Linked DNA regions of Diceros bicornis minor. The protein of the gene in region 4 purifies or fractionates together with the protein of the main gene of each other region. This does not show direct contact. Links are inferred from orthologs where the notes say so. Each region holds a gene or a part of one and is shown on either strand. Other genes may lie near its edges.

Evidence for each region.
Region 1: the proteins of PSMB3 (region 4) and PSME1 purify together in Homo sapiens (affinity purification with mass spectrometry; 4 studies listed by BioGRID and IntAct, counting the BioPlex papers as one, with this or other methods). This does not show direct contact. The link is inferred for Diceros bicornis minor from reciprocal best matches to the Homo sapiens genes PSMB3 and PSME1.
Region 2: the proteins of PSMB3 (region 4) and FBXO7 purify together in Homo sapiens (affinity purification with mass spectrometry; 4 studies listed by BioGRID and IntAct, counting the BioPlex papers as one, with this or other methods). This does not show direct contact. The link is inferred for Diceros bicornis minor from reciprocal best matches to the Homo sapiens genes PSMB3 and FBXO7.
Region 3: the proteins of PSMB3 (region 4) and PSME4 purify together in Homo sapiens (affinity purification with mass spectrometry; 3 studies listed by BioGRID and IntAct, counting the BioPlex papers as one, with this or other methods). This does not show direct contact. The link is inferred for Diceros bicornis minor from reciprocal best matches to the Homo sapiens genes PSMB3 and PSME4.

What each region holds. Positions count from the first base shown.
Region 1 is NC_080744.1:23,863,584-23,871,556, reverse strand, and holds PSME1 (proteasome activator complex subunit 1), read left to right. Parts: upstream 1-4,960; 5' UTR 4,961-5,120; coding exon 5,121-5,159; intron 5,160-5,754; coding exon 5,755-5,787; intron 5,788-5,914; coding exon 5,915-5,977; intron 5,978-6,095; coding exon 6,096-6,206; intron 6,207-6,293; coding exon 6,294-6,339; intron 6,340-6,459; coding exon 6,460-6,557; intron 6,558-6,803; coding exon 6,804-6,872; intron 6,873-6,954; coding exon 6,955-7,022; intron 7,023-7,128; coding exon 7,129-7,183; intron 7,184-7,258; coding exon 7,259-7,345; intron 7,346-7,517; coding exon 7,518-7,598; 3' UTR 7,599-7,739; downstream 7,740-7,973. Other genes in the region: FITM1 (fat storage-inducing transmembrane protein 1), read left to right, coding at 1,646-1,911, 2,302-2,914; EMC9 (ER membrane protein complex subunit 9), read right to left, coding at 7,797-7,973. UniProt on the Homo sapiens protein: Implicated in immunoproteasome assembly and required for efficient antigen processing. The PA28 activator complex enhances the generation of class I binding peptides by altering the cleavage pattern of the proteasome.
Region 2 is NC_080764.1:16,477,840-16,485,385, reverse strand, and holds the start of FBXO7 (F-box only protein 7), read left to right. Parts: upstream 1-4,546; 5' UTR 4,547-4,761; coding exon 4,762-4,883; intron 4,884-5,010; exon of another isoform or gene 5,011-5,042; coding exon of another isoform or gene 5,043-5,079; intron 5,080-5,115; exon of another isoform or gene 5,116-7,546. UniProt on the Homo sapiens protein: Substrate recognition component of a SCF (SKP1-CUL1-F-box protein) E3 ubiquitin-protein ligase complex which mediates the ubiquitination and subsequent proteasomal degradation of target proteins and plays a role in several biological processes such as cell cycle, cell proliferation, or maintenance of chromosome stability.
Region 3 is NC_080751.1:32,400,918-32,407,878, reverse strand, and holds the start of PSME4 (proteasome activator complex subunit 4), read right to left. Parts: upstream 3,016-6,961; 5' UTR 3,014-3,015; coding exon 2,772-3,013; intron 14-2,771; exon of another isoform or gene 1-13. UniProt on the Homo sapiens protein: Associated component of the proteasome that specifically recognizes acetylated histones and promotes ATP- and ubiquitin-independent degradation of core histones during spermatogenesis and DNA damage response.
Region 4 is NC_080757.1:38,680,411-38,688,391, reverse strand, and holds the start of PSMB3 (proteasome subunit beta type-3), read right to left. Parts: upstream 3,001-7,981; 5' UTR 2,898-3,000; coding exon 2,895-2,897; intron 2,568-2,894; coding exon 2,383-2,567; intron 1-2,382. UniProt on the Homo sapiens protein: Non-catalytic component of the 20S core proteasome complex involved in the proteolytic degradation of most intracellular proteins. This complex plays numerous essential roles within the cell by associating with different regulatory particles.

The DNA.
Region 1 (7,973 bases), on a different chromosome or scaffold from region 4:
CTTGACAAGCGGTGCGTCAGTGCGCGCCCGGGATCCAAACCTGCCAACCCTGGGCCGCCGCTGAAGTGGAGCGTGTGCACTTGACCACTAGGCCACCGGGCTGGCCCTTGTCACGTGTCTTTTAAATGGGTAATAGGTATATAGTCACTGTAGTGTTTAGATTCCATTGGATATATTTAAATGAGTATATAAATAGATTTATTTTTGAAATGTCAGTATATACAATACACTGGAAATCATGACCTTTGCAACTATTTAAAATTACAATGAAAAATTTTTTGTCAACTTAAAAATGTTTGAGGGGTTCTGTAGGTCTTCATGCGGAGGGGTCCATGACCAGGATCTATGCCGAGGGTTGGGCTTTAGGATCTGGAAGGAACCTGATGGGTTAATCCGTCTTGATCAGTTAGCACATGAGGCCACTGAGGACCAGGGAGGGTAAGTTGATTTTCCGAAAGTCACACAGTTGGGCCCAGAACCCAGGTGTCCTTGCTTGTTCATTCCTTTCACTACTTCCTGGACCTCCATTGTGCCCTGAAATCCCCCCACCAGTTTTGAGGATATGGGGAAGGAAGACAAAAAGGGATCTCAAAACAGTAACTGACTAGCAGGGACTTCCCTTGGGTGGGTTGCTCTCCTCCCTGTGGCTCCAGCCCCAGCGATCAGGCTGGAAGGCCAAGTCTTTTGTGTGGCTGAGACCCAGGGTAATTGGTTGGAGGACACAACCTAAGGTTTCCGTGGACCCCAGGCTGGGGATTTTCCTCCGCCCCCTGGGAGTAAACCTGATCTTTGGGGCTCTGAGAGTCCAGCCTCGGCCACCACCATCTCATACAGTACACCTCTCTCAGGACACTTGAATTTCATCTGTCGGCGATCATGATAAACATACCAAAGAATGGTCACCCTTTAGATCAGATGTCTTGTGCATTGCGCAACCACCTTGGTTTACACAGCAGCCCTGGGGCCAAACTAGCCCCTCAGACCAGACAGGAGCTGGGGCTGGGCCAAGTCCCTGAGGTCACAGTGCACTAAAACGGATACCGCTGCTGATAGGCCTCCCAGGCCTGAGTTGGACACAGTGCCATGCACAGCCATCTTGCTGCATCCTGCAGTGGTGGGCTCTTGGGCTCAGAACTCAGGAGATGGGCTAGACCACACTAATGATGAGGCAGACACAGATTTTTTTTAATGACTTCCACGGTTTAGTTAGTTTTATCTTCATGACCCCTGATTTCCTTGTGAAGCAAACACATGGTAAAGTTGAGGTGCAGTGGGGGTGACTTTGACCAAACAGAGAGGGAGATCCAAGCAGGCTGTGGACAAAGACAGCCTTGAACAGCAGGCTTGGCCCTGAAACATGAAGCTGGGGACACAGACCTAGAGGGTCAAGGGGACACAGGACTAACAGGAAAGGACACAGGCTGCTGTCAGGACACATACCCGAGGCTAGGACCCTGCTGACGTGGCAGCCCTCCACCCTGGCCCCTTACTGCCCCCCGCCCCTCTCCCCCGCCTGCCAGCTGCCAACAGGGCTCTGCCCTGTGTCTGCCACACCTGTCACTGCCTGTCCTTGTCCAGGGGGGGCCCCATCAGCCCCTCCTCAGCTGCCCAGCAGAGCAAGCGGTTAGTGGGGAGGGGAGGGAACATGGAGCGGGGGCCGGTGGTGGGGGCAGGGCCGGGGACCAGGGCCCGAATCCGGGCAGTGCTGGGCTGCCTGGTCCAGGTGCTGCTCTGGGTGGCCTCTGCTTTGCTGTACTTTGGAAGTGAACAAGCTGCTCGCCTCCTGGGCAGCCCCTGCTTGCGGCGCCTCTACCACGCCTGGTTGGCAGCAGTGGTCATCTTTGGGCCCCTTCTGCAGTTCCATGTCAACCCTCGGACTATCTTCGCCAGCCACGGCAACTTCTTCAACATGTGAGTCCATTCAAGGCCGTGGGCACCGGCTCCCTGCGCTCTGGGATCCCAGCTCCCTCCCGCAGGCTTCTGTCCTCCTGCCAGTCCAGACACTAAAAATAGGCTAGGAGGTTGAGGTAAAGGTCGGAGGAGGGGGAGGGGAACAATCGTTGGGGTACAGGGGAAGGCAGGAGTAGGGCTGAAGAGGAAATATGGACACTAGAAGGCTGAATGGGCCCCTAAGGAGATTGCAAAGTTTAAGTGGATGGGGGGGCAGGGTAAGATGGCACCGGAAACAGAGAACAAGTGATGATATGTAGGACTCGGGACAGACCTGTGATGGGAACGCAGATCAGGGTATGGAGAAGGGGCTGAGGGGTCTCAGCAGCTTCTCCTCTTCTCTGCCCACAGAAAGTTTGTGAATTCAGCCTGGGGCTGGACATGCACCTTCCTGGGGGGCTTCGTGTTGCTGGTGGTGTTCCTGGCTACAAGGCGTGTGACAGTGACTGCCCGGCACCTGAGCCGGCTGGTGGTGGGGGCAGCTGTGTGGCGGGGGGCCGGCAGGGCCTTCCTGCTCATTGAGGACCTGACAGGCTCCTGCTTCGAGCCTCTGCCCCAGGGCCTGCTGCTCCATGAGCTGCCTGACCGGCGCAGCTGCCTGGCGGCCGGCCACCAGTGGCGGGGCTACACGGTCTCCTCCCACACCTTCCTGCTCACCTTCTGCTGCCTGCTCATGGCCGAGGAAGCAGCCGTGTTCGCCAAGTACCTGGCCCACGGGCTGCCAGCCGGCGCACCCCTGCGCCTGGTCTTCCTGCTCAACGTGCTGCTGCTGGGCCTCTGGAACTTCTTGCTGCTCTGTACTGTCATCTACTTCCACCAGTACACTCACAAGGTGGTGGGTGCCGCCGTGGGCACCTTTGCCTGGTACCTCACCTACGGCAGCTGGTATCATCAGCCCTGGTCTCCAGGGAGCCCGGGCCACGGGCTCTTCCCTCGCCCCCACCCCAGCCGCAAGCACAACTGAAAGAAATAAAAGCACATCAGGCCTGGCTCTGGCTCCTCTCATCATTTGGCTGGGGGAACTTGGAAAGGGTGGGAAGGGTAAGAAGAGTCTGGTGGTCGCTGGGGCTCCTCAGCTATTCCTTGCTGTCATCGACTTGAATGTCCTTCCTTATGCTGGATTTCCATCCCCTCTGCTGCCCTTTCAGCCTCCTAGTCCTCGCACACTTCAAGCTATCTGGGGCTCTGATGCTCAGAACAGCACTGCCAGGGCAGGTAACAGTGCCCTTAGGTCGGGGCAGCATTCCAGCTGAGCAGGTGCTCCATCTCTAGCCTGCTTGATTCATTCTTCCTGCCTCCTCCACTGAGTCCGCCTTCCTCAGGGGCCTGTCTATCTGGGCACCCTACTCAGGGACCCTTCCTACCCTGTCTTCCCCATAGAGGGTCCAAGTGTGTCATTTATTTAACAGATGTTTATTGAGTCAAGCATAGTTCCATGCCTTGTGAATAAGAAAGACAAGGTTTCTCCTATTTGGAGGCTTATGGCTTAATGTGGGAGGCAGATAATAAACTCACAAATAATAGCAAACACCATTATTGTGCTCACTATGTGCCAAGCACTGTTCTAAGTGTCTAAGCTCTTCATATAAATTAATACATTTAGCCCTCACAACAACAACACTGTGAGGTAGGTTTGGTAGTGTTTCCATTGTACAGTCGTAAAAACTGAGCCACAGAGCTTAAGTAACGTTTTCACAGCTAGTGAATATCAGAGCCAGGATTATAAACCCAGGCGATATGGGTCCCTTGTCTGTGCTCTAAACCAGCGACCAGCAAACTACAGCCCTCCTGTGGCCACTTTTTGTATGACCTGTATAAAAAAATTTATGTTTTTAATGATTGAAAAAATCTAAGAACGATATTTCATGACACATGAAAACTACATGAAATTCAAATTTCAGTGTCCATAAATAAAGTTTTATTGGAACCTAGCCACGCTAGTTCATTTAGGTATAGCTGTTTGCCTGCTGCAATGGCAGAGTTGAATAGCTGCTACAGACACCATATGGGCCACAAAGCCTAAAATATTTCCTATCCGGCCTTTTACAGAAAAAGTTTCCAACCTCTGGTCTAAACCACACTCTTCTCAAAAAATAAACTGGCTAATACCAGAGAGAGAAGTGCTCTGAAGGTACTACACAGGCTGCTTTGTAATACAGAGACTTGGGGGGAGGTCCTTTATAAAGGATGATGGAGAGAGGTCTCTCTGAAGAGGTGATATTTGCCCTGAGAACCGAATGACAACAGGAGGCAGGGGAAGGGTGTGTCAGGCAAAGAGATCAGCAAGGGCAAAGGCCCTGAGGCTGGAATGAACTAGCAATGACAGGTTTAAGAAACAAACGGAAAGCCCCGGTATTTGCAAGTGTAATAAAGGAGAAAGCAGTGGAAAGTGAAGTTGAAGGGGACCAGCTGTCAGGCAGGCCTTACAGGCCTTACACGGCAGGGAAAGCCCTTTAGATTTCATTCTAAGGTCAACAAGAAGCTGAAAAAGTTTTAAGCAAGAGAAAGGCATGATCACGCGCTGTGTGGAGTGGGTTATAGAGGAGTGGAGTCCACAACAAGGGTCAGGAGAGAGCTGACTGGGGCCTGGGAGGGGTGGTGCCAGCGTCTGAATGTCACTGCATGGGCCAGACGATGCCCTGGAGCCAAAGGTCCACGCTGGCAGGGCTAGGGAAGGGCAGCCAGGTCTTGCTCCATCTCTGAGGAAAGATGGAAGAGCGCCAGATAAGGCTTATCGCCGTCCCAGGCTGAGCAGGGGAAGAAGAGAGCCCGTGGGGAGACAGGAGGCAGGGCGACGGGAGGCGGGGAGGCGGGAAGCGGAGTGTGGGGAGGCCAGGATGGAAGGAAGGCGAGAGAGGGGGAGGCCGGATGGGCGGAGGCAGTAGAGAGGCTGGAAGGGGGAGGTGTGAGGGGGAGGTGGGGCTTCGAGAGCGGGGCGGGGAATGGGCAGGGGGAGGCGGGCAGGTCGGCGAAAACGCGCCTCTCGGGCTCTAGGGGGAGCCCCGGCTGGGCGGCCCCTTTGCGCCTCTTCTCTCTCCGCCTGTCCCCGCCTCCTGCAGCACCTCCACTCCCCCTACCCAGGAAGGCGGTGCGGAGGGCTAGCGCTGCTTTCGCTTTCCCTTCCCCGTGCCCGCTCCGCTCCGCGCGGCGCCAGACCCCTCGCCCCGGCCATGGCCACGCTCAGGGTCCAGCCCGAAGCCCAAGCCAAGGTGAGCGCTGCGGGGTCGAGGGCGGGCCCATTAGGGAGGCGTGGCCCCGAAAGGCTGGAGGCATCCGCGACCCGCCCCCCCAGCCCCCTACTCGAGTCGGGGTCGCTCATCCGAGGCCACGTGAGCCTCGGTGGCCGGAGCACCTGAGCCCCGGGGAGGCCGGCGAGGTCCGCCTGCCGGGGGAGGCGAGGCGGCCGAGGTGAAGCGGGGCGAGGTGAAGCGGAGAGCTGGCGTGCAGGGGAAGTCCGCTGGCCCAGGGCCCGGCCCACACGCAGACGGGGTGCGGGACCTGCCCTGCCACCTCGTGGCCCTTCCCACGGGAGGGCCCCGGGGCCCACTCCACAGGGCACTCCATCCCTGCCCCAGTCGTAGAGACTCTCCTACGCCCCTCCTCACACAGCCCAGGAGACCCGAGGGATCTCTTCTCACTTGAACCACTTGCCCTTCCCCAGGAATGTCCTCATCCCCGAAATCCAGCCCCACGGGGATCCACTCCACCCGTCCCCAGGTCAGGCCCTACACAACCCTAATGGAACAGCCCTCAAATGAACTGGCCATAAAGCCAGGTGTCTAAAGGGCTGCGTGTGTCCCACAGGTGGATGTGTTCCGTGAAGACCTGTGTTCCAAGGTAAGACGTGCCCCATCAGACCCCACCTCTACCACCTCCCACTGCTAGCCTTTCCTGGCTTGCTTCCTTCCTAGGAAGGGCATTCGATTCTGACCCCTATCCTCCCCCACCCCCACCTCACACACAGACGGAGAACCTGCTCGGGAGCTATTTCCCCAAGAAGATTTCTGAGTTGGATGCATTTTTAAAGGTACTGGGGCCGGGCGGGGAGCTAGAGAGTAGGGGCCAAGGGGATAGTCTGGGAGGCCATGAAGTTAGGAGGTGAGTGGGATGCTCTTGCCTCCAGCCCTCCTCCCACCCTGCACCAGGAGCCAGCTCTCAATGAAGCCAACCTGAGCAATCTGAAGGCTCCCTTGGACATCCCAGTGCCTGATCCAGTCAAGGAGAAAGAGAAGGAGGAGCGGAAGAAACAGCAGGAGGCAAGCCGGGAAGAGCTGGGAGGAGGGCCCCAACAGTGGGGAAATCAGCCTTAAGCCTGACTCCCAAGAGCCCCTCTCCCCCTGCAGAAGGAAGACAAGAATGAAAAGAAGAAAGGGGACGATGAAGACAAAGGTATCACTATGGTGGGAAGGGACTTGAGTCTCACCACCCAGGAGCTCCTCCCTAAGGATTCCTCTTCCCTGCCCCTCAAACAGTCCCAGCCATGTGACTGACCCATTGCCCACTCCCTAGGTCCTCCCTGTGGCCCAGTGAACTGCAATGAGAAGATTGTGGTTCTCCTGCAGCGCCTAAAGCCTGAGATCAAGGATGTCATTGAGCAGCTCAACCTGGTGAGCCCTCCCACTTCCACCTCCAGGCTTCAGGCCAAACCCTTTGTCCTCCTTAGTCTCTGCCAGTTAGGGCATGGCACCTGGTAGGTCTTAGCAGGAGAGGGCACAGCAAGTGAAGCCAGAATTCCAGGCCCTTGGGCTCAGGATGGTCCTGGCGTACCTCCACCCACTGTGGGCAGGGAGGCAGAGGAACCTGGGAATTGGGTTGGCGGCTGATGTGGCTTTGATGCCATTCCCTCCTCCCAGGTCACCACTTGGTTGCAGCTGCAGATCCCTCGGATAGAGGATGGGAACAATTTTGGAGTGGCTGTCCAGGTGAGAGCAGTGACCCCCTCCTCTGCCTCCTTATCTCTAGTCCATGCTGCTTTCCACTTTCCCCCTTGCCTTCTTTCCCCAGGAGAAGGTGTTTGAGCTGATGACCGCCCTTCACACCAAGCTGGAAGGCTTCCACACGCAAATTTCCAAGTGAGTGACTGCCCACCTGCACCCGCATGCACACTCTGCCTCTGGCTTGGACAGAGGCCTGGGCTCCCTCCTCCTTCTCCACTCTGCACCCTTCTGCTTCCCACAGGTATTTCTCTGAGCGAGGCGATGCCGTGGCGAAAGCAGCCAAGCAGCCCCATGTGGTAGGTGAGGCCCAGGTCAGGGTGCATGGGGGGAAGGACACATTTGAAGTCAGGCTTGACCCGAGTCTCCCGCAGGGTGATTATCGGCAGCTGGTGCACGAGCTGGATGAGGCAGAGTACCGGGACATCCGGCTGATGGTCATGGAGATCCGCAATGCTTATGTGAGGAGGCGAGGGCAGGGGTGGGCAGAGGCAGCTTCCCCAGGCCACCCACTCCCTGACCCTGCAGGCTGGGGGTGAAGGGTGACAAAGCTCGGCCTCTCACAAGGCTAGAGATGGGGCACAGAGCCACTGAGGGCCTGCGGCTGACCCCCACTCCTCCCTGGCCCTGTAGGCTGTGTTATATGACATCATCCTGAAGAACTTCGAGAAGCTCAAGAAGCCCAGGGGAGAAACAAAGGGAATGATCTATTGAGAGCCTCCTCTCATTTCGTGATGGCTCCAGCAGCGACCTTCCTGTCTTTTACAGGGAACTCCAGACTTTCCCCCACCTTCCGCCTGTGGAGGTTTCTCCCTCACCTTGCCTCCCAGGCACAATAAATATCATCATACCGTTGCCCATCAGCCCAAGTCTCTTTATTGGATCCTGACCCTCCCACGCCCCGGCCCTGGTTCAGGTATTTCCATTGGTGGGACCAACCCACTGGGTGATTTGGGTGTTGAGCTGCTGGTTGGTCCAGTCCTGCCGGATGTCGTCAAGGTGGCAGTCAAAGTCCACAAGGTGCTGGTAGGCCCGGCCATCCAGGAGTGCTCCCACCATCTGCCGTGACTCTTCCCAGTCCCTCCACAT
Region 2 (7,546 bases), on a different chromosome or scaffold from region 4:
GTTGTTTTACACAGGGGTATGGGTTAACAATTCTGAAACCACAATATATGTATACTGGAATTGAACAATTAGGCAAATGGATGGTGGATGGTGGGAGCCAGGTTTGTCACAGTTGGATTGGGAGGTTGCAGATAAGCAAGGGAGGAGGCAAGAATGATCTGTGTGGTAATGCATTAGAGTTGGAAACATCAAAATGGACTCATGCTTTGCTTAATACAGATACAGATGGTTATGTATATACACATAGATGTCTCCTCGCTCTGTCAGCTGAGAAGGCCTAGAAGCAACAATGCCCCAGCAGCCGTGAGCACACCTAGCGCCCAGATCTTGATTTCTAATACCATTCTCCAACAAAAGGAACTAGGGCTCCTTGGAAAAATGGCTGATTCTAGGGTTGAGGCAGGATATATACAAGATGATCCTGGAGCATCTTGTAGTGCCAGAAAGTGAGAAAGTGCTCAACAACAGAAAAAAAGAAAATGAATAAAAATCCATAACGATATCAAATGGATACAGGAGTCAACTGAAAGATCTCCCAATGGCCAAAGCTGGAAGAAGATGAGCAACAACAACAAAAAGTAGTAGTATTGGATTATAAACCAAAGTATAAAATAAGTGTCTATAAGTTCATACTGATATAAATGATTGAATAAATAGAAAATAGACAAATCTCCTGTGCAGAAGAAATTCAAATAATTTATGGAGATGCTGCACCTCTAAGGAGGGGGAGCATAACTCCTACTCTTTAAGTGTTGGCTACACACAGTGACTTTCTTCCAAAGGCTACAGAGTACGAAAAGGAGAAAAAAGGCGGAACTTAACAGTGGAGAAGCCAAGTGATGAGGTTAACACCAACAGCAAGAAGTCATACTGATAGTATGTACTGCTGATATGATGTGATGTGACGAGAATGGCGCATTACCTCTGTGGTATTCCTCCCACGAGCACATCGCTTCAGTCTAATCATGAGAAAATATCAGACAAATCCCAACTGAGGGACATTCTACAAAATCCCTGACCAGTCATCCTCAAAACTGTCTAGGTCATTAAAAAAAACCAAGAAAAGTCTAAGGAATTGTCACAACCAAGAGAAGCCTAGGGAGACATGCCGACTTAATGTAATATGGCATCCTGGATGGGATCCTGGAAAATAAAAAGGACATGAGGAAAAAACTGAGGAAATCTGAATAAAGTATGGGCTTTACTTAATAAAAATGTATCAATATTGGTTCATTAAGTGTGAGAAATTACATACTAATCTGAGATGTTAATAATAGGGAAAACAGGTATGTGGTAAACAGGAACTCTTTTCATAATAATTCTATAAATCTAAAACTGTTCTAAAATTAAAAGTTTATTAAAAAAAGCCTCAAGGGAGACAATGAACGGATACCCACAGAAAAGTGACATCATCCTTTTGTCGTACACTATGAAATGGCCCATTGAAAAAAAAAGGCAATTAAAATTTCCAAACTCTTTGAAAGTTGCAGTGCTTATTGCTTGCAGACATTAAGGTGACAGCCTGAAAAAAGGAAAAAAAAATTCTCAAGGAGGGAGATAGTTGAGACAACCGAGTATATAACATTCTCATGGACTTTTGAAGTTTTGGAGGATCATCCTCCAGAGTACCTTAAATCTTGGCAGTGTCTTGAGAATGCTCTAGTTGTCTTCCAGGACCCTCCTACCCTCCTGTGGTTGGATTACTTCTGCCATACCAGTGCTTACACCCTATTGGGCAAAGGGTTGCAACAAGGATCCCAGGTGAATTCGTTTTTTATTATTGTTGTAACAAATTACCACAAACTTAGTGGTTTAAAACAAAACAAAAGGTATTATCTCACTGAAGCTTTACAACATACTTGTCTGATATATTCTTGTTAGTATTTTCATTTTTATAGATAGTAACTTACCCAGGCTTACATAGTACTAAGAGGTGGACTGTGGTAGATGGTCTCCAAAGATGGCCACCATATTAGCCTTCCACTGTTTTCTCCACAAATGTTATTTCAGAGAGAAATAAACTCATATCTTGTTTAGGTCACTATTAGTTTAGGTCTCTGTTAGAACAGCTGAAGCTATATCCTAACTAATATGGTTCCAAATACAGCCATTTTCCAAGTTCTCTTAGTTTTACTTCTGTAACATTGTCCCTGCCCATCCTGTTGTCTCTATTCCCACTGTCATTCCACTAATTCCTTTTTCCTCTGTTACCAAAAAAGCCTCCTGAGCTGGTCTCTAATCCAGTGGTTCTCAAGGCAATTTTGCCTTCTAGGGGATATTTGGCAAAGGTTGAAGGCATCTTTGGTTCTCACAACCGAGAGGCGGGTTCTACTGGCATTTTGTGGCTAGAGACTAGAACTGCTGCTAAACATCCTACAAGGTACAGGATAGTCCTCCACTTCAAAGACTCATGAGGCCCCAAATGTCAATAGTGCTGAGGTTGAGAAACCCTTATCTAATTAATACATCCCCCCACACTCTGCCAGTGATATATTCACATTTCAGATCTGACCCACCTGCTTGTGGTATACACCTGTCAGGCTCACGGCTTTCTATCCTCTTTTGAACAGCATTCCTATATTTGGGGAAATTCCAATATTATAAGTCTCGCTTCCCCAAGGAAGGAGTTTGGACCCCAAATTCCAGTCTTCTTGGCAGCCAGGACTCAGGCATGGGTCTCCCTCAATCAGATGCATCCTTATGAGGCTTTGATTTAGAAGAGAGCAAGACGAGGAAATAGGCTCTTTTGGAAGCCTGGCATTTTGTCGGTGGAGGAGACCGCAAAAACGTGCGGCATTTGAAGGTGGAAGCCATTCCCCAGTGGTTCCTGGCAGCGGTGACAGCAGTTTCCTCCACTGTGGGGTGGGGTGTCAGCAGCAATCCCAGTCATGGTAGTTTCCTTATCAGGCCAGTTCTTCTGCGTGGTTCTGAGCTTCATTCCTGGAAGCTTAGCCTGGAGCCACTTCTCCAGTCCTCCCCAGAATACTCTGAGCTAGCCAGTATCCTTTTAATATGCTCCTTTTGTGCTTAGTCAGCCAGAGTCAGCCTCTAGCGCTCAGAACTAAGAACGCTGATAAAGATTCCTCTGCTTAAAACTCTCCAGTGGCTTCGCATACATTCTAGAATGTGTCCCAAATCCTTTGCTGAGCTCAAGGCTCTTGTTTATCTGAGATATACCCACTCTGTCCTTCACTCTGGCCACACTGAGCCACCCTGGTCCTGCCACCCTTCCTTGATCCCATATTGCTTGCCACTAAAGAACTCTATTGACACAGCAACTTTTCTCTATGTACCCTGATCCCCAGGACTGTTCTTATCTATATCATAAACAAGACACTTCTTACACTCTACTACAGGAGTTTACTCACTCAACTGTAAGCTCTGCATGGGAAGGAACATGTCTTTTCAGTCTTTGGGTTCTCAGCACCTAGGATAATATCTGGCACAAAGTAGGTGATTAGCACATTTCCTTACTGAATGAAAGCCAGGATGTGGGCAAGCACTGCCACCTACTGGAAGAAACTTTATTCAACTCTTTTATAAGGATTTGGACAATGGCTAGCATCCAAGGATGAAAGGTGATGACGCTCTCTCCCTCATCTAAGTCATCATCACCATTATTGTCAGACCCTCTGTGGTAGCCAGTCTCCTAGATGGTGCTCAATGACTCCTGTGTATTGGTATTCATGCCTCTGGGTTGATCCTCCCACACTGAAGGGTTGGTTTGTGATCAATAGAATATGACAGAAGTGATGGTGTGTGACTTCTGAGGCTAGATCATAAAAGACACTACGGATTCTGCCTTCCTCTCTCTGGGATTGCTTGCTCTGAGGGAAGCCAGATGTCACATCACGGGGACACTCAAGAGGTCCCTATGGGGAGGTCATGCAGTGAAAAACTGAGGCCTCCTGCCAACAGTCATGTGAGTGAGCCATCTTGGAAGCAGAATCGCCAGCAGGAGTCAAGACTTCAGATAACTGCAGCCTTGGCCTACATCTTGACTGTAGATGAGAGACCAAGACAGAACGACCCAGCCAAGCCATGCCGCAATTCCTGACCTATAGAACCTGTGGGACAATAAATGTTTGTTTTCAGCTGTTACGCTTTGGGGTGATTGTTATGCAGCAACAGATTACTGATATACTCTCCGACAGAGATCACTGACTACAAGCTGTTCTACCATTTTGCTACTGTCATAGGAGGAAACCACCAGAGCCTGGGCTCAACCTAAGGCCACGGAGGAAACGCGGTAAGAGCCAGGCACACCTGGGCCTTGCGGAGTGGCGAGCTGTACTGTCTCCAGCATCCCTCTCAGCGTTAACGCCCTCCAGGTACACCTGGAGGGAGCGGGCACAGCCACGGCGGCGGAACGACGGGGACACAGGCGAGCCGCGGCCCCTCGGCGCCTGCGCAGTGCGCCCCCGCGCTCCCAGGTGGCGCCGTTGCGCGCCGAGTCATCGATCGCAGTCCCCGAGCGGCCTGGCTCGGCGCAGCCGCCCGCCGCCCGCCAGCGGGGTGGGCTCCAGGGGGCGCCCTCAGGAGAGGGGCGGAGCGCTCCCGCGCCAGAGACCCGCTAGCAGGCCGGCCGCCGTAGTGTGGCCTTCTGCCGGTGACAGCTCAGCACCCCCACAGCTCCGGTAGTCGCCGCTTCGGGGTCGCCGCCGCCGCCTCTTGAGGCGGGAGCTGCCCGGCGGCGCCGTGGTCCCCGTCGCCGCCTCCAGGTCCAGGCCCCGGGGCCCTCCCGCTGCCGCCGCCGCCGCCATGAAGCTGCGGGTGCGGCTTCAGAAGCGGACCTGGCCGCTGGAGATGCCCGAAGCGGAGCCGACGCTGGGGCAGCTGCGCGCGCACCTGAGCCAGGCCCTGCTGCCCGCTTCGGGGTACAGGTGGGCGGCCGCGGCGGGGCCCCGGGGGAGGCGGGTGGCGCGGGCACTCCCCGGGCCGTCACGTGAGGCGGGCGGAGAGCGGGGCGTCGCGGGGCCGGGCCCGGGGACTGTGACGCGCAGGCCGGCGGGGAGCGGGCGCCGGGGGCGGCCCGCGGAGACATGGCCCGGCGGGCGGGGGGCTCCGTGCCCCTCCAGGGTGAGCCGTCCCTCCGCCTTTGCAGTCGAGGAACCCTGGGGTGGGCCAGGAGCACAGTTCTCGCGCCCTGTGCAACGTCCAGTTGGAGAGGACGCGCTTGGCTGGGTGAAACCTTGCCAGGCTCTCAGGGGTTTAAGTTAAGTTCACCCTCTCCAGCTGTCGGAGTATTTCAGTGGAAAAGTTTGGAAAGTGCTGGAAGGAGTTAGAAATCGGCCCTCCTTCCGAGGCCACCTGTAATTTGTACCGCTGTGAGGCTGCGATAATCCTAAAACTCGTGGGGTGTTGACTCACCCTTTGCGGAGTTTTAAGGTGTCGGCGGGTTTCAGATCTTTTAATTTTCCTGGGCGAGATGTTGCTTTTTTGCTGAAACTAAGATCAGTGTTGGCCTTAAGTGATGACCCTGGAGAGCTTGCAGTTTGGGGGCAATGACGTTGAGAAACAAAGCGTCAAATTCTGTTGTTCGTTTATGAGGCTGCAGATGAGGCTGCTTTGTTTCCACCGAGGGCATTTTCTGGGGACAATAATCTGGGAGTAGAGGACTGTTAATAATAACCTTGGGAGTAGAAGTTAGACCGTCCAAAAGTAAGGATGGTCCTCTTCAAATATTCAGCTATCGAATTTGAAATTTGTGCTGAAAAAAATGAAAAAAAAGTTCACTGGGGCTGTTTAGGTGAATTTTTCAATGGAAAACCTCTCTGTTAATTGGCTCTTTTTATAAACTTTATTTTTAGGGAATTCAGTAAAATGATGCCATATTATGAACTCACCCTTTCGTTTTTCAGGTTAAGGCACTATTACGTTAAAAGTAAGCCTGTTTTTCTCTAAATTAAAAAATAAAAACAGAAAATAATGTATTGACGTAACTCCTTTTAAACATTATATTAAGTGACCTGCCTATTGTTATTTCGTTGTGTGAAAGCTAAGTGTTTTGCATGCGGGCGTCCGTTACTCCACCACAAATTTTCAAAATTCTCTTTTTAAAGTATTTTCATATATATATGTGTATATATTTTATTATTATTATTTTTTAATTAGGCGAGGCAGTGTTGAAAGGATGTGAAACCCAATATGACTCTTTGTTTACCCAAGAGCTCAAGTTAGTTTCTCTTTCAGGTTTGTTTTTACGGTGGAGAATGGTTAACTGGAAGGAATGTAAGCTTCAGCTTGTGAAAGTAAATTCATTTCTCTGAAAATATGTTCATTTTAGAATAAATTGGCAGTTTTAAAATGTGTTTATATGACATTATTATTTTTCGAGTGTCTTTGCTGAGCAAGTGGATCTGGGATAGCCATAAAATATTGTTAAAAGTCTTGAAATTTCTAGGATACTTTTCCCGATGAACTTTTTTCACTATTTCAGAAAACAGAATCATTTTTTAACCCCTTTCCTGGAAAACCATATATTACTTTAGAAATAGCCCTTCCTTTTTTCTAAAGGGGGAGGGAAGGCCGACGTTTTTATTAAGCAGACAATTCTTTGTGTTTTCTATAAGTTAGATATTTGAACGAACATTGTACTGGATACCATTAAAAAGAACCTTTTGCTTTGACAGATGATCCATAAACACATAGTTCATTTGAGGTGTCTTTCTTTTTTTCTCCCGAAGTTGGGATGGTGTTTTTCTGGGCAGCTGGCAGATTTTCAACACTTATCAAAGCATTTGAAGACAGAAGCATAGCTACTTATTTTCTAATAAGCAGGAGTATTTTCTAAAACTTTAGTAATTTCTCTATCCAAAGACACTTTAGTTGGTAAGACAAAACGTATTTACATGTGAGAGAAAAACATAAATGAATTATTTCGAGCACTTTTGAAAATGCAGCATTGTAAGAGAGAATAAACAGAATATTATTTTCAAAGGACTCGTCCTTTGTTAACCTCTCAAAAAGTTAATGAAGTCAGCATTGCTGAGTATAAATGTCCTATAAAATGTTCTACAGTGGTTTGTTAATTAATCCTCACTGCTATGTGATGAAATGATGGTTATTTTTTCAAGCTCAGATGATCTGTGATGCAGAAGGGATGGGAGTTCATTGCTTCAGGCTAATTTGAGCTCTTAGCTTGTTTAGCAATGGGTTTTTGGATTTGTGCTGTCTTCCATAAAAAAGACATCATAACTGACCGTCAGTAAGAAGGGTGAACTTGAACCTGTCCGTAGGAGGGATGAGTTTGTCCTCAGTCGTCTACATATACTCATCTAACTCTTTGTGATTATGAATATTCATTGAGGACATGGGTCTAGTATTTTGGAACCAACGTAAGCTAACTGTCCTGTAAGGACATCGAATAGGTAGCCCTGATTTCAGTCTCATCTTGATCTTCCCAGCTAATGTTTGTTGGTTGCATTTATTCCACAAATACTTTTATTTGCCAAGTGCTGGAGATAGAGTTTTGAACTAGACAGACGAGATACCTGGTCTTATGAAACTTAAGTTCTAATGGTGAGCGTGGGGAAGAGAGAAGATA
Region 3 (6,961 bases), on a different chromosome or scaffold from region 4:
GTGATGTATTACATCACACAATCTCTCTTGAACAGGCAGTCCTAATACTTTAAACTGTCTGTACAAAAGAGCTTGTATTACACCACAAGGCCAATTTTTAAAATTCAAAGAACTAACCTTTCTTCACAGAAATGCTAAACACACCTGCAAGTCTTGAAATGGATTGAAACAGAATTACAATAACTACTAAAATTACGTAAAACTCAAAAAAGGGGCGTCTGAGTACCTCCCAAACTAGAACTTGACGATACACAGACCCATGACACCCAGATTAGGGGATCCAGTCCCAGTGCCTCTAAATAGCATCTACACTCTGGTCTTCTTTAGGAATGTATTTGATTTATGCAACAATTTCCAATACTTTACAAAGTCCTCAAACAATCCTTGTAGAAAGACACACACTGGCTTGAGGCTCTACAAGATAAAAAATAAAATCATAAAATATCAGAGCAGGAATGTTTCTCAAGAATTACTTAATCCAACCCCATCGTTTCACCCACAAGAATTCTGAAATACACGATTAAAGTAACTTTCCCACAGTCACAGAGCTAGTGGCAGCAATTAGATTTTCATTACTACTTTCCATTCTTCTACAAAGTACTCAATATGATCACTACTCAGGTAACTGAAAGCTATCATCACATGTTTTGGCATCATTTAGATGTAAACTTGTGCAACCACACACAAGGCTTAAAAAACAAGCACATCTATAAACAGGTCACCTTAACATGACTTAGGAGAAAAAATACATCCAAGATCACAACATGTCCCACCAAGTTCAAAATGTCTCATAGCGCAATCCCAAGAATCAGTCTGCAGCATTTAACCACTGTTCCAAAATAAAATTCTATCTCACAGCATTTCTTGCTGGTTATTTAGATATAAATGGTTTGGGATTCCTAGATTATTAAGCCACATAACTGCAGTCTTGCCCTAAACACCACAGACCGTCGCCACTGTATTTTTAGCCCTTTCTAGGTAAAAACTACTTATACATAATAAACCAAAAATAATAAAACTCTAGGTGCTACTCCGCGAAACTTAGTAAGTAACAATAAATATGTCAGAAAACAATGCTTACCTATACCTGTGTAGACTCTAGATTCCTAAATCCAATCTAGATATGCATTCACACACTGGTACATTTATACACTGTGCATCTAAAAGGAACTGCTTATGTCCCCCCGCAAATGGTTATTCTCTAGCAAGTCGAATCCAGGTGATAAAAATGGGGAATTACTGGAATGACAAAGTAACTTTATTTTTACTGTGCCCGAGTAACACAAACACACCTAGGAGGCTCACTTAAAAAATCATTTGAATTTTAATCATTTATAAAACATTTTTCTGTTTTGACTAAAAGTGGTTCTTATCCCTGTTGCATTTCTTTTCTTCCCAAGTCTCCTATGGATCCCAACACCACAAACTTCTATACATTCAAATCAAGAGGGCCATTAACCTTGACATTTTATGGTCACTCTTTGAAAAGGGCAAATTACGTGTTTGAGTTCTGCTTTATTAATTAAAAAGCAATTATTATTCCCACCACCACCACCAAATGGAGATGAGAAACCTGTCAGAGACTCCTTCATAAACGGCAGATAAGAATCATCCTGTGAGGAAATGTGGAGAAGACTATTGCGTTACAAAACCCTGAGTCATCACCCAGTTCACTCAGCAGATTTGGGTAAACACTGGATAAGTGACTTATGTCTTACGTGTTCACCCACCCATACCCACATGCATGAACATACAATGTTACCAGATTTTATGTACAGTTAACCATACAAGATACAACAAAATCTTTTTTTAAAAAAGTTCTTCTGACACAATGAAGATTCCCACCTAGCAAAAAGTCTCTAAAATCTTCCCTCCCACCCAGCTGTATTTTTACTCGCCCTTTCCCCCTAATTTCAGTGGCACTACAGTTTGCAGCTAGTTTATACAAAAAAAAAGTAATAAAAAAAGAATAGAATCCTTGAAACTGATTTACGTAATCTATATTTATCTGAGCGACTCAAAAATTAACACAAGCCCGATACAAATAACACCCAGGACAACCTGACAGCTCTCCTCTTTTCCTTAACGCTGTACGTTTCCAAACGAAATGTCACAACAGGAGCAATATACATTTTGCCGAGGTTCTAAAACTCAACATTCTCAACATTAACGTCTAGTGAACAGTCCAAGAATGCGCTGAAGTCGGATCTTAAATCAATCTTTTCAATCAAATCCACAAAGACTGAGCAGGCCCCAAAAAAGCAGAACCTAGAAGTTCCCGACGGCCTCTTTCCCATTCAGAAAGTTACCAGAGGCCAATTGAGGGATAGGAAGAGGCGGGGACCGTAGGGGAGGAAAGAACCGGAGGAAGCACCAGAAGTCAAGAGTTGCTCCCCTCAAAGACGAATCCTCTGTGCCTCCCCTCCCCCACGGGCAAAGGTCCAAGGAGCCCCCTTGGGGGACCGCTCATCTCTTTCCCTGGGGGCCCCGCAGGTCGGAAAACAACCTGAATCCTTGGGGAGAAAAAGCAGGGGAGGACACTGAGGGCTGGTGAGGACCGGGGAGGTTCCGTAGGAAAGTGGCAGGGAGGAGGTCTAAGTGCTTCCAAGGCTTCTGCCGTGACCCTGAGACGACTGCACGGGGACCACCGGCTCGAGCCGGGGCAGAGGTAAGGGTCCTGCGGTCCAGTGGGACAAAGAGCCGTCCCCCACCCCCGACGTCCTCCTGTGAGCCTCTGCCCCGGGCCCATCCTGAGGCCCGGGCACACTTACGTGGAGAGTTTCCTGGTCCAGAAGAGGCCCCCGGGCCACAGCTCTTGGAGCTGCACGGCCCGGCCCAGGTTGCATTTGATCTGGGCCAGCTGCAAGTCGGACTCGGCGTCCAGCCGCTCGGCGTAGGGCAGCAGCTTGTTGTAGACGATCTCCTTCTGCGGGACGAAGCCCCGCGGCTCCGGCCCGGGACGCCCGCCCGGCTCCGGGGGATCCCGGCCGCCTGCCCGCTCGGCCGGCTCCATGAGCCCAGGGACACCCCCCCACCCTCCCACCCTAGCCCTCCCCGGCCCCCACCCCTCTCCGGGCTCCGCCTCCTCCGCGTCGTCGTCGCCCCGCGGCCGCCGGCGGCCCGTCGTCCTCGGCCCGACCGCCGGATCCCCTCCCCTGGCCGGCGCGCTGCTGGCCCCGCGCGGTGCCTGGTTCGTTGGCTGCGGCAGCGGCCGCTCCGCCCGCCCCGCACCGGCTCCGCTGGTGACGCTGCAGCCGCCGGGCCCGAGGTTCCGGACGGGCCTCAAGTCACTTCCGGGGCGGGGCGACGGCGTCGGAGGAGGCGGCGGCGACGACGGGAGCTCCGGGGGCCGCGCCTTCCTCGCCGTGGGGCAGGCTCGGAGCCCCAACCCGCGGGCCTCACCGGCCAGGCGCGATGCTGCCCCACCGGAAGCACGAGGCCGAATTCCAAGCGATTGTCCTTCCTTACCTGGGGTCGTGTGACCCCTGCGCCTGCTCTCCAGGGCCCGTAGTCGCCGTGGCCTGGGGCGAGGCAGTGGGCCTAGACCCCGCAGGCCGAGTTTGTGGGATAACCTAGGTACTCTGTATCCATGCCATTCGTTACGTATAGATTTTTTTACTCTGTCCGCTTTGAGCCCTCGTCTTTCTGGTATTCTCCTGACCGCCCTCTTTCCAAAAAGGAATAGTTATTCGTTCAACAAATATTAATTGAACTACTATTTTGTGTGTCAGCCGCTACTTTTAGGTACTTGAGATGGAAAGTTTAAGAGCACCTGGTTTCTGTCCTCCAGGGACTTAAAGTCAAGCGGAGCTGTAGACTAGGGAATAAGTAATTACAAGACAATACTCTTAATTGCTAGTTAAGTACATGATGCCTTGGGAACACCTAAAGCGGAGTTCAAACTGGAGGGGGGTCAGGAAGTTTCCTGAAAGTGATACAGATAGTTGAGCTTAAGGGTTGGTTAGAAAAAGAAGGGAAGAGACGGTGTATTTCAGCTGAGGGAACAGCTCAGAGGCTGCAAGCGTGCCGTCTAGGAATTCAGAGAAGTTCAGAATGGCTGAAGATTGCTTGCAAAAGGGGAGTGGAAAATTGAGACTGAGAAGGAAATGCTAGGGAGTTTTTAAAGCTTTATGCTAAAGGCAACAAGAAATTGAAAGATGTTGAGCATAGGAGTGGCACCATGCAATTTACATTTTTGAAAAATCACTCTGGCTTTGTATGGAGAGTGGATTAGAACAGACAAGATTGGTACCTAAAGGACCCCTTAAGAAATATGACATAATGATGGCCTGGATGTCAGCTGAAATGATTTGAGAGCTACTTCAGCAAGTACAATGGCCTAGGCTTGGAAGTTGATTGTATATAAAGAGTGAGAGAGAGAGAGAAGAAACGGGATGATGTCAGATTTCTGGTTTGGAAAGCCCGTTAGGTAGTGAAGCCCTTCACTGAGAGAACATGGCAGAAACAGCTTTGGAGACAGAATGCGTAATGGATGCGTAAGTATTTTGATGTATGGATCAAGGGGGTGATCTAAACTGGGATATAGATTAGCGTATTGGTGGATTGGAGGGAATGAGATATATAGAGTATTGCTAGAAGATAAACTGAGGCATATTAAAAATTTTAAGAGTGTTTGAGCAGAAGTCGATTGGAATTGGGCAGGGCCAAACCAGATGCAGTTAAGAGTGCCAACAGGAGCCAGGGGAAGGGCATATGCTAGAGGAGATGTGGCAGCCAGGAAAGGAAATTATACTCGTGTTGCTTAATGACGGGGATACATTCTGAGAAATGCGTCGTTAGGTCATTTCATCATTGTGTGAACATCGCAGAATGTATGTATACAAACCTAATGGTATAGCCTACTACACACTAGGCTATATGGTACTAATTGTGGAGGATGACATGAGTGGAGCCATATTAAAATAGATCCAGAGTAGCTGTTTCAGAGGAATTTCCTTGCACGTCTTATTTTCTTTATCTTCCAAACTGGACCAAACCACCGACAATCCAAGAAATCAGTAAGGACAAGAATATACTGTTTGTAAGGACTGATAAAACTGGACTTTGCTGGTGACCGAATTGCTAACCAATCAGTGAAGTACAAGTTTTAGCCTTTTGCCTGATGACCAAATCTTAAGCGAATCAATGAAGTACAAACTTAGCCTTACCTCGTCTAGCACCAATGAACTCTTCTTTAAAACAGCTCACCTCATCCTCCCTTTTTCCCATAAAAACCTTAAGACCCTCTCCTGTAATCAGAACACGTTTTGGGTTTCTACCTGAATCTGTGCCTCCCTAATTGCAATTCTAATTGCTCAAATAAATATCTGCTGTTTAAACAGTAGTGATTTTTTGTCGGTCAGCATAGTCTTATGGGACCACTGTCAAATATGCAGTCTCTCGTTGACTCTAAGGTCGTGTCATGCACATGACTGTATTTGATTGGCTATAGCTTAAAGCCAGTTGGTATTTGTGATTTGTTGTTCTTAGCATTTAGATTTTGTAATCTTGAGGCATTCATAGGCTTAGATTTTGGTTTGTTTACGTAGACTGCCAAGGCATTAGAGCCATCTCAGTCTAATGGCCTTCTTGTTTAATTAATTTCACAGTATGAAAAGAACAGGGTCCTTGACCACACTCTGAGGAACTGTATATTTAAGGATGGACAGAGAAAGAGGAGCGAGACCCCAAAGGATACTCACAAGAAGCAGTCAGAAAGGTAGGAGGAGTTCTAGGAAAGGGAGCATTCCTAAAAACAGTGTTTCACATGGAGAAAGTGATCAATGTACCAAAGGTGGCTGACAGGTCAAATGAAAGGAAACTTGAGAAGGAGTTATTGGAGTTATTGATAAAGCAGATAAGAACAGTTTCAGTGGAGTGTGGTAATGGAAACCAGATTACAATGACAAAGGATGAATGGGAAGTAAATAAATAGAGGCAGCTAATGTGGACAACCTTTTTTAAAAGTTTGAGTGGGAGGAACACAAGAGAGATGAGGTAGCTGGCATAAAAAGAACTTTTGAAGGTGGGATATATTTAAATATGTTTAAATATTGATGAGAAGGAGCCAATGAAGAGAGAGATTAAAGATAATGTGGGTGAGGATGACAGTGAGTGGGAGGGAATGTGGAGTCATTGGCCCTTAGCAGTAAACCAGACTGTGCTTCCATTGTCAGAGGAGGGAAGCAGGGGAGGATAGGTGCAATTGAAGAAAGGTTGGAGGATTTAGTGGCTGGAAGTTGGAGAAGTTCTTTCTGACGGTTTCTTTTTTTTCTGTGAAGCAAGAGAATGAGAATGAAGGGAGGAAGAGATGGGTAGGAGATTTAAGGAGATTGGAGAAGTTTTAGAGTAGTCTCAAATTTCAGAAGACTGATGAGAGAAACAGTAGAAATTGCTTGGCAGTTAAGGCTGGAAGCATGAATTTACTGTCGTCCGTGGGCAATTTAGTGATTTTCTTCAATAATTAGCAGCCGAGGATTGTATGACATACAGGCTGGTATGATAGAATGACAAAGGAACAAGAGAATGTTATGTATGTTATTGGTAGTGATAGAAGCGGTGTTGGCTACCATTTGCTGAGCACTTCTCTCTGCCGCTGCTTTACCTACATTATCTCATTGAATTCTCTTCTCTAAATAGAGATAATTGACTTGAGAGTATTTGAAAGAAAGTAGTTAACAACTAAGTTAGTTGAAGTCTAAGTGAAGAGAAAAGAGGGCTGATAAGCAGAGTAGAAGGGTTAAGAGACTCAGATCCTGTTAAGTACAAGGACAATATGAAAGGATTAGCCTGAGCAAGGGACCTGGAAGAACAGGAATGTTTGGATTCAGATTTCAAAGAAGCAGTTCCAGGTGATGTCAACTCTCCTGGGAGTGGATGTCTGGACCGGAAATGTCAAAAGAATTATTAAGCAAAAGACATGAAGTTTGTTTCTGTTATTCTATATGAAGTTTAATAGAAA
Region 4 (7,981 bases):
CTTCGGAAGACACACAATCTCAGCCCGCGCCAAGACTCCTCTCTCTCTCTCCCAGTGATTTTCTCACCAGAAGTCCAGCCTCACGTCCACTTTCAGGACTTGTCCAACATCTGTCACCTGTAAACATGCCACACTGCTAACCTTTTTTCCCTTACTTTTTTTTTTGAAGGGAGAAAAAGGGAGTTAAGAAGTAGATTTTTCCCCTCTTTTTTGAGGAATAACATATATACAATAAAACGCACAGCTCCTTCTACAGTCTTAGTGGGAGTCTACCTGCAGGCCCAGACATGGCAGCTTACAGTAGAAAGGGCAGTGGACCGAGCGCTGACCTGGGCTAGGCCTTCAACATCTCACTTAATTTTCCCACCCATAAGATGGGGACACACTCAATCACCTGGTGGTGAGATAAATGTATGGGTGCATGACAAGGTGCTCAGAACACTGCAAAGTCTTATGCGTTAACAAACAGCAGCTGCTGCACTAATGGACTGGAAGGTGCCTGAGAAAAAAGGCTACATCTCCTCCAGTGCCATCTCAGAGCCCAGGGAGTGGCCCCTGCAAGGAGCAGACCAATGCCAGACCTGCTGGAAGCAAAGCCCCAAGTCACAGGACACCCGAACAAAGGGCCTTAGACACAACCTGAGCTTCACCTTAAAGGTGAGGAAACCGAGGCCTGGCTTGTTTCTGCCCACAAACAAGCAAACTTGGTGAAAAAAGCCTCCTGAAGAAAAGGAAGTAGTGTGAGGAGAACGGCAGGGACAGGAGAGAGGGAGGCTGCTGGGGGCCTTCACATGGACAGGAACCCTAAGCGATCGTTCTCTGATTCCACCAGGACTGGAAAGAAAGAGCTGGCTGGGTTACCTCTCAGGAAGAATTTCCAAGTTTTACGTTCTTGAGACTTAGGGAGCTTTAAGGGAAATGAGAGAGAGAATTTTATGACAAGCTTCCACCCACATGAGTGAACTAGTCTCCTAAAAACTAAGTCCAGGCACTGCTGCTCTAAGGCCACCAGCGTCCTGCAGAACCTGCCATCTGTGACTATATCCTCCCTCTTGAAACCCTACCCTGATTTTTTTCCTCTGGCCTCTCTTCTTCCCTCACTGCTAAATACACAGTTTGGCTCTCAAACTGCAGCTTATTTTTTTCCCCTCCATGTATTTTGTCTCTCCAGAATCTGTTCCCATAGATTTAACATATCACCAATGCCTCTCCAGCCCTGAGATATAGTTTCAAGACCCAAGATGTTTCTACTTGGCTCGCCCTGTTCCTTCAAAATTGGTGTCAGAATCAAAGTCATCACCTTTCTCCTAAAACTAGTCCTCCCAATTTCTATATTTCAGTCAACATGCTCAAAACAGAAATCATCTTTAAAACATTTCTAGATTGCCTACATGCCAAGTACTAGTCTAGTTACTAGTAACACACACACACACCAGACCCCGACTCCACCCCCCCCCCACGTCCCGAGGCTGGCTCGGTGGCTTAGCGGGTGGCTTAGCGGTTAAGTGCACACACTCCGCCGATTCGGAGGCCTGGGGTTCACAGGTTCGTATCCCAAACGCGCACCGGATCCCGAAGGCGCAGCGATGCCCGCTTGTCAAGCCGTGCTGAGGCGGCGTCCCAGATAAAGTAGAGGAAGATGGGCACGGATGTTAGCCCAGGGCCAATCTTCCTCACACACACACAAAAAAACCAGACACAGACCTCGACCTCCATGAATGGCTCTTTGGCCTCACAATATCCAAGCAGCCACTACAGCTGGTCAGTAACAACTCTCAGAAATGCCTTCCTTTCCTTTCCCACCACTACCACCCCATTAGGACCATAACCCTCACACCTAGACCATCACAACAGTTACCTGCTTCATCTCCCAGACTCTCTCTCCTCTCAAATCACAGAAACACTGTCAACTAGATAACTAATCTAGCAGTTAATATGCACCAGCTCATCAAGAGTCAGTTATCTTTCCCATATATGCCTGCCTTGTCTCTCAACTAGACCTGAAGTTCTTTAGGGACTGAGCACAGACTTTGACCTCGGGGAGACCTGCACTGGGATCCTGGGTGACATTCATTAGCTTGCATCTTGGCAAGACACTCTCTGAGACCCTCAATTTCCTCATCTGCAAATGGGACAGCAACATGGTAAAGTCGTTAAGAGAATTAAATAAGTCCGTGCATGTAAGGTGCTTTCCACCGAGTCTGGCACAGAGTAAATGCTGGCAAAAGTTGGTTAGGATACAACTCTGTATCGCTTAAGGTGTCCGGCAAGTCTCAGGTTCGCTGGTGCCGTCTGGTAGATGACTGACCCAGGCCACTCAAGACGCCGAGCAAGGCTGTCCAAGAAGGGGCCTGGGTGTGGGCGGGGACCCCCAACACTTACACGGTCTGGACGTCGGTGGCGAGACCGGCCAAGCCGATGTACAGCCGGTCGCCCATGGGAAAGATCTTCTGGAAGTCGGTGGTCACCATCTGGGCCTGGATCCCGAAGCGCCTGTCGGCAGCGATGGCCACACAGTTCTTCCCCTTCATGGCCATGACGGCCCCTCCGTTATAGGACATAATAGACTGGGGCAGACAGGGCGGAGGTACTCAGCGCGAGGGCCAAACGCAACCATAGCCCCCGGCGCAGCCCCTGATCCTGAGGCTCCTGTACGCACCGTCCTCCACTCTGGAGGCGCCCGGACGCCCCGAATCCAGCCCTGACATGAGCGCGGTGCAGCCGCGAGGACCTGAATTCACCCCCTGGGTCCTCACCGCGGTTCGCTCCCCTTCAAACTGGAGCCGCTTCCTTCCATCGACCACCAGGCCCTCTCCGCCCCCCAAACGTCCCATGACCCCATGCCCGTTCCTCAATCCCTACCCCATGTCCTTTCTCCCCGCTCCCCATCTCACCATGACTGCGGCGTACTGGGACCTCCACTCGCCACAACTTCAGCAAACCGGCGAAGGCCCTCGCTGCGCAACCACTCCTGTTGCTTTCTCTCTAGTAGCTGAAAGGCCGACCCTTCCGGCACATTTTGGCTTCCTATTGGCTGTGCATCTCTGTCAGTCATCAGATCAGGAGTTTGGTTGAGAAGCCAAAACGGAGACAGCGGAAAGTGAAAAGTCACTGTGAGTGCGGAAGAGCCTGGCCTCGCGGTGCGAGCTGGGATCGTGGCGGACCCGGACTCAGGAGGCCAGAGACAGGGGCGGGGACGTGCGCGCACGTGGGCCGGTGGAGCCCGAGATAGGGGCCTGTGGTCCCAGCTGAAGCCTGACGGTGTTGGTTATGAACACGTCGTGTGGGTCGGGCGTATTACTCACGCTAGCTTGTTTCACTTATTCATTCCAGAAATCCTTACGTCTGTTGTGTGCCAGGCACTGTGCTAGGCTTTGGACATTCACAGGCCTAGAACGGCGCCTGGTATTTAGGAGGCGCCCATTAAGTGCATATTTAATGTTGAGAGGTGGAGGGGTCGGGGGAGGGTGCCGCAGGTATTCTGCAGCTGCAGGGGTTCAGCTGCAGAGGGGAGGTTTGGAGGCCGAAGGTTGTTCTGCTTTTGGGGACTCTCAGCAGATGGACTTTACTTATCTCCAAGTCTCAAGTCACCCTAAAAAGGGACGTTCCGGGCTTCCCCATATCTTCCTTCCCCGAGGAAGCCGGCGACGATCTCTCCCAGAGCCAATGGGGGAGAGGCGTGCGCGTCCCGCCTCCTCCCCTCCCCTGATCGGGACCCTTCCCTCTCTTTCCAGAGTCGAGCTTCTTTCGGCCCATTGCAGAATTTCTGTTCTGCCTTCTGCATCATCGCAGGCTCACTCCTATTGACTCGACTCACTGCCACGCTGGTGATTGTCGCAGTCTCTGTGGCGCAATCGGTTAGCGCGTTCGGCTGTTAACCGAAAGGTTGGTGGTTCGAGCCCACCCAGGGACGCTGTCTTTCTCTCCCGTTTTTAGTAGAAAGGGGAGGAAAAAGGGAAACTGAAGTGTTATTCTCCCAACCACTTAAAAGCCAAATTTTGTATTGAAATGGCAGAGGTAACAATTTTTTCCATAGCAAATCAGAGGGTCATTGTGATTGAAAACTCGCTATTGTTCAGTCAATGGTGGGATAATTTCTCCACCACTTCACCTCCTAACCTCCCACCCCGCCCCCAAGCAGGAAAAGCAGACAGAGGTTTTTGTCTCATTGTGCAATAGGTTTCAGATTGCATTTTTCGTAGGATTAAGAATGAATTTGCAGTGGAGGTTGGACAGTTTTCCATTGTCTGCCTCAATCGATGTTACAATCTCAAAATATTACATTTGGAAGGGAAGAAAATACCGCGAGAGACAAAGGCAGCAACAAACTGAGGGATAAAGAGAAAGATGAGAAAGGGAGAACACAGCTTGATATACAGAGAGGGGACGTGACAGAGAAATGGGCGCGGTGAGTGGAAGGAAGACACCGAGAAAATGGAGAGAGGGAAAACGGAAGCAGTTAATATGCGAAGCATCAGGAAAAGGAAAACAACAACAAAACAATTTTTTTCTAGAAATTCACAGAAGTGGGGAAGAGGATGGGGAAATAGAAGCAGAAACTGACAAAGTATATTGTTTTGGGGAGAGAGGAGTAAAAGACGCAAAGGTCAAGACAGTCATAAAATCACTAGCGGAGCCGCCCTCTCCCACACTGTCAGCACCTTCAAGGGGATCTTATCCTTGCAGTAGCTCTCAGTATGTACTGGAAATAATTACCTAGATTACTCGGGTTCCTGCCCTCTGGAAGCTTCTAGCCTGTGTCAGACACAGTGACCCTTCTGATGAGAGGTGTCAGCTGGAGGACTGTGTGGAACTACAACTAACACAGAATCGAGGGGGAAGCATTGGCACCACTGTCAGCCAGAGGCGCATCCCAGGGTGAGGGGTGGGAGCCTTCACTTTTATAGAGGAGCTAAGCAAAGGACGCCCTCAAGCAGTTCCCTTTGACATATGGTCTCCCTCAAGACTGGGCTCAGAGGCCTCTTCTGAAAGCCCTGCCCCTCGCTCACAGAGGCTTAATGGGCGCTCACAGGGCTGGTGGGGGCAAATGGGAGGGATACACAGTGCCATGGAAGCTAATGGGACAGGCTGTGTAGCCCTCTGGGTTTGCCCCCACTGGCCTGTGAGCACCCTGAGGGCAAAAGCCGGGCTCATCAGCTTTATGTCCTCCGTGCCTAGCACAGATTTGACATTGGCACATGACAGGTGCTTCTTTGCCGGGAAACCAGAGAACTTCAGATATGAAAAAGGTTGGGTCAGAAGGTTCTCCTGATAAACCAGAAAGGCCAGCGATGTGAGGACGGGTCGCCCAGGATGGAGTTGATTAAAATGAAGTTTTAGTGGGTAGTGGGGTCTTCAGCATGCCCCTTCTGACTTATGGTTTGCTCGTGGCTGGCGCTTAATAACTGTCTGAGGAACAAGTGAACGGACCCCCGGTGAGCACGGTGGCCCCCTCCGGCAGCACTCCAGGATTAAAGGGGCCGCAGTTGGGACTCAGAGGGACGTCAGCTCTCTTCCTACTAGCTGATATCCTACCCCTCTGCCCCCAGGCAGCCCCTGGGTGCCCCTGTGGCTTGTGAGTGGGACCGAGATCTTCGCGAAGCCCCTACAGGTTTCTCTTGCCCGAGATCTTCTAGCCCGAAAGGCGTGGCAGACCAGGAGTCCCTGCTGCGCTCCCCACCCCGGAGGGCGATTGGGGGACAGAGAAGGAGGCGCGAGTCTTCCCTGGCAGAGTCCAGGATGCCGGCGACTCACTTGCCTTAGGGACAGTGGGCGTGCCCACGCCAAGAGCCCCCTTTCCATGAGGAGCGGCGAACTCCCGGTCTCCGCGAGCAAGGACAGGGGAGCAGGTGACCAGATCCTTCCCCGGCCCTTCTCCTGCGGCTTCTCAGACAACTCCCTTTGGGCGGAAATCTCTCCCGCCCTTCCTCTTCTTCCCCGCCCCCATTCAGCCGGTGTGGCCTGAAGGCTGAAGCTGGGGTCACTTGGCGGCCAGTATCCGCAGGTCTCCCGGTCGCCGGCCAAGGGTGAAAGCATTCAGTCCGGGAGCCCAGCTTTGGGTCCTCCGGGGCTTCGAGAAAGGAGGGAGGAAGGAGGAGGCGGCAGGTGCTCCGAAGCTTGCGGAAGATTTGTCTCCTAATTTCCTAACTCGAACCACCCACCGCCAGTGCGCTTAATGGCGCTTCTGGCCGGATAATCGAGCTTTTTGGAGGGACAGACAGTGTCCCTCCCTAATAAATCTCAAATAAGCAACTCGACCGTCCTAATGAGGCCCACGGTGGTCGCCGTAACGTAGTATCGATTGGCTTCCCCAGCGCCAGCCTCAGCCGCTCCTCCCGGCTTTTCCAAGCCTCTCTCTTCGTTCTCCTCCCGGCGGGGCCACTGGGGACAGGAGCCAGAGCACCGGGAGGCACCTGGAGCGACGGTCGGAGTCGGCGGGCACCAGTCGCCTTTGCGCTCGCCCGGCTCCTCCCGCCGCCGCCGCGAGGGAGGCGCACCAACCGCGCGGAGCGCGGTCAGCGCACGGGCGCAAAATGCAGGAATCAGCGCAAGGCAGGAAAAAAAGCGCGGGCCCATTTTTGAGCCCCCGTGCCTCGTTTTGTAGTCCATGCGGGCCTCTCGAGTTTGGTCGAGTTATTGTGCCTCGGCCCCGGAGCCTGCGTCCCCGTCTTCAGCTTGACTCCCGGCTGAGGCTGCGTTCCATTTTGCTCCGCGCGAGCACACCGAGGGCGCCAACCTCCACCACAGCAAACCGAGCTCCCCCAAGAGACCTCCCCCCAGGCCTCTCCCTCCGTCCCCCGGCGGTTTGCTCCCTGAGGCGACCCGGCTGAGTTCCGGTGTGCTGCGTTTTAAAGCCAGTGATCTGGCCCCTGAGAGGGGCAAGGGGGTGGGGGACACGCTCTCACCGATGCGGTTAATAATTTTAAGGGAGTGTCACTTGAAGTGAATGAAAATAACCCGGACGCATGGCTGGAGGCGTCGCCACCCTCGCCCCAGCCCAGCGCCCTTTGGTCGAGGCCGAGGCGTGGAGGACTGCAGGGCGAGCCACATTTCAGCCCGGTCCTCATCTCACCATTTTCCAGGCGCCCCAGCTAGGGGCGGGAATCGCAGGGTCAGAGGGTGGGGGGGGAGCACACATATTTTTTGGGGGGAAGGGTAAGTTGCAGAGGGTAACAGAGAAGACGATACATCTTCCAGGGTCAGGAGCTGTTTGGGGAAGGGTGAGGTCGCGTCCTAGTTTTGGGGGCCGGGCCCCCGGCGGGGGCCCAGCCTCGTTAGCCTCTCTCCCTCCTCCTCTTTCCCTCTCCGCAAACACCCTGAAGGAATGAGGTCACGTGGGTGAGTAGTGGGCGGGACCTACTCTTGTCTGGAGGAAAAAAGCCATTTTGTCTCCCCCCTGCAGCCCCGGTCCCTCCCCTCCCCCCTCCGTCCCCTCCCCTCCCCTCTCTCCCTCCCACCCCAAGCCGCTTTCACAAACTCCTTTCTTACCGTAGGTTTCTCCCCTCCCGCCGCCGGAGCGAGAGACACGGCTGCGGCCCCCCTCCCCTCCCTTCCCTCCCTCCCTCCCATCCCCCCCTCCCCGAGACCCACCGGACCCCGAACCCAGGTAAGCGGAGGCGGACGCCCCTTTCCTTTCCTTCTCCTACCCCGTAACCATCTGGGTCATCGGGATGGGGGGCCGGTATTTCCTTCTTTGCAAACCTCTGTGGGAGGGGGAGGCTCCGAGCCGGGCCTGCTTCTCGCGTCCCCGCCCCACCCCCGCCAGCCCCTCTCGTAGCTCGCCCCGTCCGCCTTTCTTTCTCCCTTTTTTCTCTCCTCTTTTCCCTTTCCTCCCTTCCAAGATGGCCGAAGTGGATTCCCCCTTTTAACGATTTGGCGTCTCCCTCGACCACTACCTCTTTGTGCCGCAGCCCCCCTCATAGACCTGCTCCCGAGGTAGCGAGGGGGAGGGTCCGAGGCAGCCACAGGGCTTTGGGGCTAC